Linked DNA regions of Lonchura striata. The main gene of each other region encodes a partner of the protein of the gene in region 2 in a complex. Links are inferred from orthologs where the notes say so. Each region holds a gene or a part of one and is shown on either strand. Other genes may lie near its edges.

Region 1 (3,745 bases), on a different chromosome or scaffold from region 2:
AGCTGTTCTCAGCACATGGCCATCACTTCATCACAACTATCTGTGATTCCTGGAGCCTTGGATCAGTGCTAAGACAAAGCAATTATTCCACTCTGCAGGCTAAAACCAACCCAAATACAAATGGAAGTTCCACCAAAGTCTTTTATTGTAGCCCTTACACAGCCAAGCTGCCCTCCAGAGCGGTGGACTGAGAATCCTGTTCATTTCACAAGATCCTTCACGTATTTCCAGCCTTCCACTGTGTATTCACAGGCCCTGGTGGGAGCTACAGACAAGGCAGACATGACTCTGTGCACCCCTGCAAGCAAAGCAGAGAAGAATTACCCCAAGATCATCATTCAAGCCAAATTTCCCGATTTCCAACACCACCACTGTAAATCTCTTTAAACCCTGAGCATTTGTGACACAGAAATTCCAACTTCAGGGTCTGTACATGAGCTAAGACAATTACAGGACTGAGCTCAGTTCTTTGTTTAAGTCCTGTTTTATTTCTGGCCTTGCCACAGTTACAGTTCTGGACATGTCACAGTCATTTGTGGATTGTGTTTCCCCACAATTACATAAAGATTCTTTGCTACACCATAAAACCTGTGTATTACTAGGTATTTATAACAGGCTTTGGCATTCAAGCAAAAATGCCTAAAATTATAATAGCAATGGGAATGCTCATCCTTTCTGAAAAGCCAAAGACTGAGCTCAGAATCAGGTAGTGAGCAGTTATTTTACCTTTATTCCAGTAAGCAGAGAGGGAAAAGTCAATTTTTGGAGTGGGTGGGAGCTAGGAAAAAGAGAGAGAAAATATCAGCACTTGAGGGGTTTCACTTGGAATTCACATCACCTTGGCAAAACCTCTTGACCTCAGATCTCAAAAATACTTGTGTGCCTACTCTCCATAAGCCTCAAAAGTGACCAGACATGATGCTTAAAGTCTGGGCTTTGCTCTTTCCTGCAATATAAAGTAGGTGCAAAAGATAGAACATGTTATTTAGGTGCTCCTGAAAAATCATCTACTTGGGTGTCTCTGTTAGTTTATAATTGTTTGTAATATGAAGAATCTTTTCAAACTTTAAGCAAAGGTTTCTTATTTTCTGAGGATTTTAAAAACTAAGAGCTACTCATAGAGGAGGGGCCTCTTCAAGCAATTTAAATTCAACTTGAATTGTTAGCAATGTGAAAAAATGGGAGGATAATATTTTCATTGTTTTTCTTAAAAACAAGTAGGATCCTTCAGAAGAAAACTACATAGTGAAATACCTCCCAGAGCATGTTTGCAATTCCCCCCCTTGACCCTGCATAGGCTGCTTACCCCTCTCCTTTGAAATAACATCTGTGAGCAATGTCTCTGCCCCAAATTTAGCATTTTATTTGCCTTCCATTTCAATCCTCTTCAAAATATTTGCAATGTGAAATCCAGTTTCAGCAGTAAAACTCCTACCAGGCTCACCAGAATCAGAATATCACCCCTATATTTTCTCTTCCTGATTCAGAGATGTTTGTGTTGCAGGGATCACCCGAGCAGCCCTTACCTCCCAGCCCAGGTAATCTGTCCACTCTTGGATAGTTGGAGGCAGCGTTTCTTGAGCTTTTCTGAGTGCTTCAGCACCTTCTATGCCACTGCCCAGCAGCCCCTGGTCATGTGCTACGTACACAGCAGCTCCAGCCAGGCCTCCTTTGATCAGAAACCTGAAAGAATTGGAAGCAGAACAGTTCAGTTCATGTTCTGACCATCAGTGCATCTCTTTCAGTGGTTGTGACTGCCAAAGAGGGTATCAGGAAAGAAATCTCATGTCTTACTGGAGGTAAAAATCAGCAGAAAAATACCTACCTATGTTCCTTGCCTTCCCAGGACAACTACTGCCTGTCAGCCCCTTGAAACTACTTCTAATTCACATTTTATCAGTGTTGGTTTTCAATATAAAAATAAGAAAGTGTCAAGTTCCTCAAGAACATGTGCCACTTTTTAAAGCCTGAGAATCACTGGCATATTCCTCTGCTGAAAGCAATTAAAGAATTCTGCAGTGGGCGAGCCATCCATGTTAATAATGTGGTTCTTCTTGATAAATCTGATATTTATCTAATAAATCTGACAGATACCAAGATCTTATTATGCTCAGTGAACACCTGGCCATGGTGTTTGCATTGCCAAGGCTTTTAAAGTTTCCTGCATGATGTGCAGTTACCAGTTTTACTGCTGTGATGGCAACCTACAAAAGGGAAGACGGGAAGAGAGTATTTGGCATTTATTGGCATTTCCATTCTAAATAAGAGATCGGAGGTAAGTGACTTTCTCAGATACACAGAGGAATGTTTTCCCTTTAAAAAAAACAGCCAAAGTTATTGTACAACCCAAAACTTGGCAGACAGCGGTACTGCAGTAGTAGGACAGATACAATAGAGCTGACAAGAGCGAACCAATTTTTAAAGTCGTGTATTCACACGCATTTCGGGGAAAAGCGATCTTTCTGCTAAAAGGCACTGTTGGCTCCCAAGGATACCCTTCCGCACTTCCTGTGGGTGTACGAGCAGCTCCGAGCCCCGCGCTACTCCCGGGTTTTGTTACGCGTCCATGTCCGCCCACAGGGAGCTGCAGGGCCCTCCCGGCGTGTACGAACACACACGGGGAGCTGCGGGGGCAGGCGAGGCCAAGGGCGTGCAGCGAAGCCAGCAGAGCCACGGACAGGGCCGGCCGCGGGCCTGGGGACGGGCCGGGGACAGCGGTGAGCACTGAGGCGCGGGGAGCACGGGGGGAACGCCGTGCGGAGGGTGCGGGGGGGCCGAGCCGAGCCGGGCCGGGCCGGGCCGGGCCGGGAGGGTGGGCAGGGCCCGCGGGACTCACTTGACAACGGGCAGCAGGCGGGCGGCCATGGCGGCGGCGGCACCGGGACCGTCACGTGCGCGCGCGGCCCCGCCCGCGCCGCCGGCGTCAGGGGCGTGAGGGGACGGGCAGGGCTGAGGGCGTGAGGGGAGTGAGGGGAGTGAGGGGACGGGCAGGGCTGAGGGCGTGAGGGGACGGGCAGGGCTGAGGTTGTGAGGGGCGTGAGGGGACGGGCAGGGCTGAGGGGCGTGAGGGGAGTGAGGGGACGGGCAGGGCTGAGGGCGTGAGGGGACGGGCAGGGCTGAGGGGCGTGAGGGGAGTGAGGGGCGTGAGGGGACGGGCAGGGCGTGAGGGCGTGAGGGGACGGGCAGGGCTGAGGTTGTGAGGGGCGTGAGGGGACGGGCAGGGCTGAGGGGCGGGAGGGGAGTGAGGGGCGTGAGGGGACGGGCAGGGCTGAGGGCGAGAGGGGAGTGAGGGGACGGCAGGGCTGAGGGCGAGAGGGGAGTGGCAGGACTAAGGGCGTGAGGGGCGTGAGGGGACGGGCAGGACTTGAGGGGTGTGAGGGGCGTGAGGGGCGTGTGGGGTGTGAGGGGCCGGGCAGGGCTGAGGGCGTGAGGGGACGGGCAAGACTTGAGGGGTGTGAGGGGCCGGGCAGGGCTGAGGGGCGTGAGGGGACGGGCAGGGCTGAGGGCGGGAGGGGACGGGCAGGGCTGAGGGGCGTGAGGGGAGTGAGGGGACGGGCAGGGCTGAGGGCGAGAGGGGAGTGAGGGGACGGGCAGGGCTGAGGGGCGTGAGGGGAGTGAGGGGACGGGCAGGGCTGAGGGGCGTGTGGGGTGTGAGGGGCCGGGCAGGGCTGAGGGCGTGAGGGGACGGGCAAGACTTGAGGGGTGTGAGGGGGCCGGGCAGGGCAGAGGGTGTGAGGGGCCGGGC
Region 2 (3,745 bases):
AAAGTTAAGTTTGATGGATAGAGTTTGATTTTATGAAACAGACACACCAACAGCATCATTTTCAAACAGGCACACTGAATAAACCATGCTACAGAAAACTTCTATGTGAGGATATTAACTCCTGAAATCCTTATATATACTGAAATGTATATACACTGAGCATGATTGTAGACCTATTTTCCATTTCCTTCCTCTAGTTCCAGTAAGTCTTCCTCTTGACCTCCTTCTCTCCTTGTAATTAAAAGGGATTCCACAAGTGAAGATGAAATTGGCAGTTCAGGCCATCCATAAAGCTAGATATACATTCAGAAAAGACATAGGCTGACAGCAAACAAAACCCTAAAAGCAAACCCTAATGTCATTTTTGTCTGGATGCCTTAAACAAATCCACACTGCTGATATACATCACCAAAGTCTATTTGAGAACCAATAGAAATCAAATTGTTTTCTGACATGTAAAGAAAGACTTCACAAACCAAGTTTAAAGTTCAAAGTTCACAAACCACGTTGTCATCATCCACTCAGCCAGCTGTGCTTAGACAGGTTATCTTTCCCTATGAGCTTCTTTCCATAGAATAAAAAGCAGTACTTCCCTCACCCATGCACAATATACACAATATGCACAGCAGACAACAAGGCAGCTTGCCAGAAATTAAAAGCAAAATATTTCTGCCTTGTTTACTGCACGTTGATCTGAAATGCTAAAAATGCTCACAGAGTGATACAGACTAACCAAAGAGCTCCTCTCACAACGGGGCAGCACTGAAAACCACCAGCACCCTCTGTGACAGGCAGTACCTGTAGGTCTGGGTTTCCCTTCTGCAGCCAGTGAGGATGGAGCTGTGCCATTGGATGCACGGGGAGATCTCTGGTTGTCCCTTCTACTTTGAGAGGATCCTTTCATCCGGTTCACTACATCTTCAGTGAGCTGAAACACAGAACCAGCCAAGTCAGCTTTTCACTGCAGGCCTCCCCGTTTGTTACTTCCCATGATAGCACAGAAGCGCTCTCAGTTTCCTCACTGCAATTTCCCTCCAGTCCACGCAGTCAGCACTTGCATGTTGACTTTACATTTTTAAAAGCCATACCCTATCAGTAAGTGACAAAGTCTCCAATCTACTGCCTGACCCTAAAAGCTTCACTAGACAATCATTCACAAACACCAACAAAGGTGGAGACCATCCCTAAACAAGTCAATTCCTTGTATAGGGAAAAATTTACCAGAATTGGAAGGAAAGGAATTAAGCAGGTTTTAATCCATCTTTTCCTCTTCTTGCTCCATGTTTGCTAACCCAGCTCAGCATGGCAGCCATGCTGCAACCCACATGACAGACAACAGCCTCCCACCCACATAAGGCTACAAACACTTTTGCAACCTCAACTTCATTTTCACCCCCTGACTTGGGTTCAAACCCATGAAAAAGAAAGAAAAGTTAACTTAAAGTTTTCTGGCAATTCAGTCCAAAAGGCTTCTCACAGCACTGTTAAAATTTACCCCTTCCTCCTGCCAAGGTCAGAGGGTCTGGCTGCAGAACAAAACCAAATGAGGCTGTTCCCCACCTAGCTTGCCACAGTAGAAGACATATTTTCAGCTATACCACTACTACCCAACTTAATAGCATTTTTTGTACCATCAATTTACATTATTATCATGCCCAATTCCTAATTTTAAAGACACAAATCCTTGTCTATATCCTGTAAAGATAAAATAGGCAAAGACAATTTTACCTCCATTAAATACTTTAACAAGTATTTACAAACAAGATAGGCACAATCTTAGCTAACTTTTGTCAAATAATTAGTCAAAATGGGATGAAAAATAAGCAGCCACAACAACACTCTGAAAGTTCATTTCTGGCAGATTTTAGGGAGAAATCATATAAAAGGATCATGAAGCAAGAGCAATGAAAATTATAGTAGTAATAAAAAAAAAAGCCCAAAACTAACATGTAAAAAAAAAAAAAAATATATATATATATAAACGGGAAAAACTATTCCTTAACGGTAGCACCACCACTCTCTAGGGCTTATTTCCACAACACACACTTGTCAGTCTCCGACCGAAGGTGAAGAAGCAGTTCCCCGCTGTCCCTCCCGGAGCATCCCTGTGTGCAGGCTCTCGCCTCGCCCTGCTCACACAGCGGTGCTCTGCCCGGGCACCGTGAGCAAGGGCAGAGCTGTCTCCTGCTGGGAGCATCACGCTGCTTGCGCGGCACAAACGAGGTCACCGAGCAGCGAGGAGGGAACGAGGGCTGAGAGCAGAGCTTGGAAGTGAAAATAAAGAGCTGGCGTGCCCCAGCTCGACAGCAGCCATGCCCAGGCCCCCAGCCCTCTTTCTCACCACTCTCCCCATCACTTCTCCAACCCCCCACTCCTTCAGCCTTCCCGGTTCCACTCCCTTCGTCCCTGCTCCCCCACATCTTCCAGCGCTCCACCTCGCTCCCCCCACCGCCCGGCCGGAGCCCTGCGCAGCCCGGCTCCCTCCGCCCCCGGCCCCACGACACCCCCGGGCGCCTCACCCGGATGCCCTGCAGCACCCGGACGCGCTCCCGCTCATCCAGCCCGAAGGACACGCTCCTGCCGCTCTGGCTGCTCTCGCTGCCGCCCATGCCGCCCGGGGTCGCCCCGTCCTCGCCGCGCCCCTCTCCCGCACCGGCTGCCAGCAGCGCCTCTGCCCTGGCAGCGCCTGCCAATATACCCGCTCCCCATTGGCGGCGGCCGCGGGGCGGCCAATAGCGCGGCGCGGTGCTAGCGGCCGGGCGCGGTGCACGCTGGGGGATGTAGTTTTTTCCGCGAGCGGGCGGCCCGCCCGGTGCCGGGGATGCGCAGGGCAGAGAGGCGGCTCCGGGGCAGCGGAGAGCGCCGCTCCTGTCCCGCTGAGCCCGCCCTCATGACCGCTCCTGTCCCGCTGAGCCCGCCCTCATGACCGCTCCTGTCCCGCTGAGCCCGCCCTCATGACCGCTCCTGTCCCGCTGAGCCCGCCCTCCTCGCCGCTCCTGTCCCGCTGAGCTCGCCCTCCACGCCGCCCTGGCAGTGAACGCGGCACCAAAACTGCCCGCACATCTTCCGCTGCTACACGTCCAAGGCACGGCGCTTTGCCAAGCTGAGGAAGGATGACCTCTCGTCAGGCACAGCAGCTGCGCTGGGAGCGGAATTCACCTTGCAGCAGCTCTGCTCCAGCCAGCGGGGCCGTCCCCTGCCCTGACACACACGGGCGGGTCCTGCACAGCTCAGGCCAGGCTGATACAGTCCCCGTTGCCAGGCATGGCTGAGCCAACAGCCAGAACAGAAGGAATGAGATAATGCAACACAGAGGCAGCTGAACCAAGAAATAACAGCTTTGGAGAATCTTTTTCAAACAAGCTTTCTGCATTCCCAGAAATATGGGCCAGTTGGTATCAATGTGCTACTTATCTACTCGGCCCACTACTCCTCAGTAGTGCATGGGAGCAGTTTTAAGTGTTTAATGCTTATTGCTCACTGCGGTTAATGTGGCAACCAGAGCTTTGCCTCAGTCGGACATGGGCCAATGTTCAGGGAGTATCTGTGAGTCTGCACCCCCTAAACCCCTCTGGATATCCAGGTCTCTTCTAGAGCACATTCCTGGAAGTAGGGAATATTTTTGTTAATTGTGCAGCACCTTGTATGCTGGAGTCAGCCCATTGCTCAAGCTCTCAAGACAAGGGCACTGCATTGTGCAGTGTGAGCTGCCTGCACCCCAGGAACACCCTCACCAGCCAGGCAA
Region 3 (3,745 bases), on a different chromosome or scaffold from region 2:
TTTATGGACTCATTACTAAATCACTATAAATGAAACACCACAATGACTGGATCAGCTGTTTCAAAGCCAAGGAAAGACAAGGATAATCTTTAATAGTGTTTCCTTAAACACTTTTCACATACTTCTGTTAGCCAGGACAAAAACAAACACTACTAACCATTAATAGCCGTAGAGTTTATTTCCTCAATCTTTCATTTTTTCACTGCAAAACTGTTATGTCACTGAAAAGGCAAAAATCTAAATGCATTTTCTCTTTGTAATATGTTTTCAAACAGTGTAAATGGTGCTAAGTGTCACAAGTATAAACAGTAAAACCAAATGTTTTAGATATTTGAGATTTTTATATAAAGACACAAATAGCACAGCACAAGACTGGAAGCACCTGGGTTTCACAAAACAGTATCAGTGACATAGGACTACTCAGACTGAAAAGTTAACTGTTTATATTATCAAGATACTGAAGTGCAGACATTTTCCATTGTTTTTAATTTTTAACAAAATGAAACTAACCTCTGAAAGTGCAAGTTGAATCTCTTCTTAAATGTGCTGTTCAAATCATACTTCAATGGTCTCCTACATCAGCTACCTCATGGGACAGGCAGAACTACTGCTGAAATACTGCATATTTGCATACACAGAACTACTTGGGAGTATGAAAGATCAGCTGCTGTACTTGTTTCCAAAATGCCCTGTAGGATCTCATTTTTGATTTCCATACTAACCATATATTACCAAAACAATTGCTTTAGTAAAACATTTGGACTGATTGAGCTGTGCCTTCAGCCTGCCAGTCCTATAGCCACTCAGTATCAGAAAAGCAGAGCTGACATTCTTTTCTATTGGCAATGCTCTGCAGTTATTTTAAGCAAAAAAGATACATTTACTCCTCTCTAGCTAAGAATTCAATTTTATCTTTAGGACTTGATAGGAAAAGCTTGAGCATACTTTTGAGAAGGCTGATACTGGTCCTAAAGTATGAAAACAGTTTTCCTCATCTTTTTCTATTCTTCCTCCTATTTCTCAGCCCAAACCATAAAAACATCAAACCAAAATCCAAATTCTTGAACATTCCTGTCCCTGAAGCAAAAGTATCCTGGACAAAAAGCTACCTTCCCTTTGGCTCTTAGAGGCATAACATCAGGTTGGCCTGAAGGACATAAATCCTCACTGGCTATGTAAAAGTACTAATACACTAATACAGATAGTGCCTAAATGCACAGGCTCACATATCAACCCTCCAATGACAATTCAGCATCAATTATGGAATCCTCAATGATTCTGTGCACAGAATTCCAGCATTAAAGGACATAAAGAAAAAGGAATTTATGACAAGAGCAGAGCAAGCAAGGGCTCAGCACATCAGTATCACAGACTCCGGAATTGTCAGGGTTGGAAGGGACCTCTGGAGATCATCTAGCGCAACCCCCTGCCAAGGCAGGGTCACCTGGAGCAGGTGACACAGGAACATGTGCTGGTAGGTGGGCTTTGGATGCCTCCAGAGAGACTCCACGACCTGGGCAGCTGTTCCAGTGCTCTGCCACCCTCAACATAAAGAAGTTCTTCCTCATGTTGAGATGTTATATATTACTATTTAGTATCCTCGGTATACTGGTATCTAGATATATTATCAATATTTCACACAGAAAATGGTACCAAGGAAAATGAATACCAAGAAGCGAGCATCACCAGGTTTTGGTGGTTTGGTGTTTTTTTTAAGCAAGCAGCCTAACAACGATCTGACTGGCACAGAGTTGCTTTTAGCCTGATGGGATCTGGGGCTGCTCTAACCACAGGCAGAAATCTCTGAGACAGCCAGAGCCGGACGGGGCTTTCCGCAGGTTTCGCTGGCAACCTTCAGGCACTAAAAGGAAACTTTTCAAGATCGAACCGACGCTTTCAAGCGACAGCTGCCCGGGCCCGAACCGAGCGGTGACAGAGCCCCGCGGTGCGGGCAGCCCCGTACGGAAGGGACGAATCTGCGCGGGGGGCACCCGGCAGCGGCTGTAAATCGGGAGTGTGCCCCTCTCCGTGCAACGCGAGGGCACGCGGTTCCGAAGCGCTAAGAGGAGCGGCTAAGCAGCTGCGAGGACAGCGGCAGTGAGAGCGGCGGAGAGGAGAGAGGCAGAGGGCGCGGGCGGAGCGCGGAGCCCCGAGCGCGGCCGGCGGCGGGCCCGGCCGGGGACCCCTCCTCACCTTGAACATGGCGGCGCCGGGCGCGCGGCGACGGGGCGACGGCGTCACCGCGGCGTGACGTCACGGGGCGGCCCCGCGCGCTGCCGCCGCCGCCCGGGCGGCGGAGGGGCTCCGGCCTTGGCGGGCTCCTGTGGGAGCAAAGCGCTTGCACGCTGATCCTCAGCCCCGCGGCACGGCTCCTGTGGGAGCCAAGCGCTTACACGGCCCAGCTCCTGTGGGAGCAAAGCGCTTACATGCTGGGCTGCACGGCTCCTGTGGGGGCAAAGCGCTTGCACGGCCCAGCTCCTGTGGGAGCAAAGCGCTTGCACGGTGATCCTCAGCCCCGCGGCACGGCTCCTGTGGGAGCAAAGCGCTTACACGGCCCAGCTCCTGTGGGAGCAAAGCGCTTACACGGCCCAGCTCCTGTGGGAGCAAAGCGCTTACACGCTGGGCTGCACGGCTCCTGTGGGGGCAAAGCGCTTACACGGCCCAGCTCCTGTGGGAGCAAAGCGCTTACACGCTGGGCTGCACGGCTCCTGTGGGAGCCAAGCGCTTGCACGGCCCAGCTCCTGTGGGAGCAAAGCGCTTGCACGCTGATCCTCAGCCCCGCCGCACGGCTCCTGTGGGAGCAAAGCGCTTGCACGCTGATCCTCAGCCCCGCCGCACGGCTCCCTGTGCTGCCCTGCAACCTTTGTGAGGAAGGCTCGGCCGTTCACAGAATCAGTCACAGGAATCAATGAGGTTGGAAAAGACCTCTGAGAGCGTCGAATCCAGCCTGTTACCAAACCCACGTCAGCTAGACCACGGCACCACCAGGCTGGTGGAGTCACCATCCCCGGACGTCTTCAAGAAACGCAGTTTCTTGAGAAAAGCTAATGGCACTGAGCGCCACGTCCAGCCTTTCCTTAAACCTCTCCAGGGTCGGTGACTCCGCCAGCAGTCCATTCCAATGTCTGCTCACCCTTTCTGTGAAGAAATTCTTGCTGAGTCCCACTAAAGGCTCTCCGGCGCGGCTCAGGTCTGTGTCCTCGTCCTGCCGCCGGCCGCAGAGCCGCGCTGGAGCGGGCAGTGCCGGGGCCCCCTCAGCCGGCCGGACACACACCGCTCCCTCAGCCGCTCCCCGCAGGACTCCCCACGCCCTTCACCGGCTCCCCTGCATTGCAAATGCCGGCCAACCCAATCGGAAGAAGTGACGATGTCTGACTCAATTCAGAAGGCTGAATGATTTCTTTATTATAACTATGCTAAAATACGTTAACATACTAGATAAAGGAAGATACTAAAACTATATACTACCTTCTCTTAATTCTCACAACTCCTAACCCTCTCTTTAGAGTGCAGACACAGGTGGATTGATCGGACATCAGGCTCAAACAATCCTCGCCAGAATCCAATCAAGCACTCACTTCAGGTAAACAATTCTCCAAACACATTCCACACAGGAAAACAAAGAGCAGAAATTGGTTTCTCTCTAACTGCTCTCTGTGCACCTCTATGAAAAATCCTGAGAGGGAGAGAAATACACTTGCCACATCAGTGTCCTCCTGGCTCACTGCCAGAATAATTCACATCG

The links.
Region 1: CHCHD6 (region 2) and MICOS13 share a complex: the UniProt entries of both Homo sapiens proteins name them as parts of the mitochondrial contact site and cristae organizing system (MICOS) complex. The link is inferred for Lonchura striata from reciprocal best matches to the Homo sapiens genes CHCHD6 and MICOS13.
Region 3: CHCHD6 (region 2) and APOO share a complex: the UniProt entries of both Homo sapiens proteins name them as parts of the mitochondrial contact site and cristae organizing system (MICOS) complex. The link is inferred for Lonchura striata from reciprocal best matches to the Homo sapiens genes CHCHD6 and APOO.

Annotation. Positions count from the first base shown.
Region 1 is NC_134630.1:4,053,782-4,057,526, forward strand, and holds the start of MICOS13 (MICOS complex subunit MIC13), read right to left. Parts: upstream 2,931-3,745; 5' UTR 2,866-2,930; coding exon 2,837-2,865; intron 1,684-2,836; coding exon 1,527-1,683; intron 779-1,526; coding exon 727-778; intron 299-726; coding exon 201-298; 3' UTR 1-200. UniProt on the Homo sapiens protein: Component of the MICOS complex, a large protein complex of the mitochondrial inner membrane that plays crucial roles in the maintenance of crista junctions, inner membrane architecture, and formation of contact sites to the outer membrane.
Region 2 is NC_134614.1:13,514,298-13,518,042, reverse strand, and holds the start of CHCHD6 (MICOS complex subunit MIC25), read right to left. Parts: upstream 2,707-3,745; 5' UTR 2,610-2,706; coding exon 2,520-2,609; intron 929-2,519; coding exon 799-928; intron 1-798. UniProt on the Homo sapiens protein: Component of the MICOS complex, a large protein complex of the mitochondrial inner membrane that plays crucial roles in the maintenance of crista junctions, inner membrane architecture, and formation of contact sites to the outer membrane.
Region 3 is NC_134604.1:103,816,540-103,820,284, forward strand, and holds the start of APOO (MICOS complex subunit MIC26), read right to left. Parts: upstream 2,243-3,745; 5' UTR 2,203-2,242; coding exon 2,194-2,202; intron 1-2,193. UniProt on the Homo sapiens protein: Component of the MICOS complex, a large protein complex of the mitochondrial inner membrane that plays crucial roles in the maintenance of crista junctions, inner membrane architecture, and formation of contact sites to the outer membrane.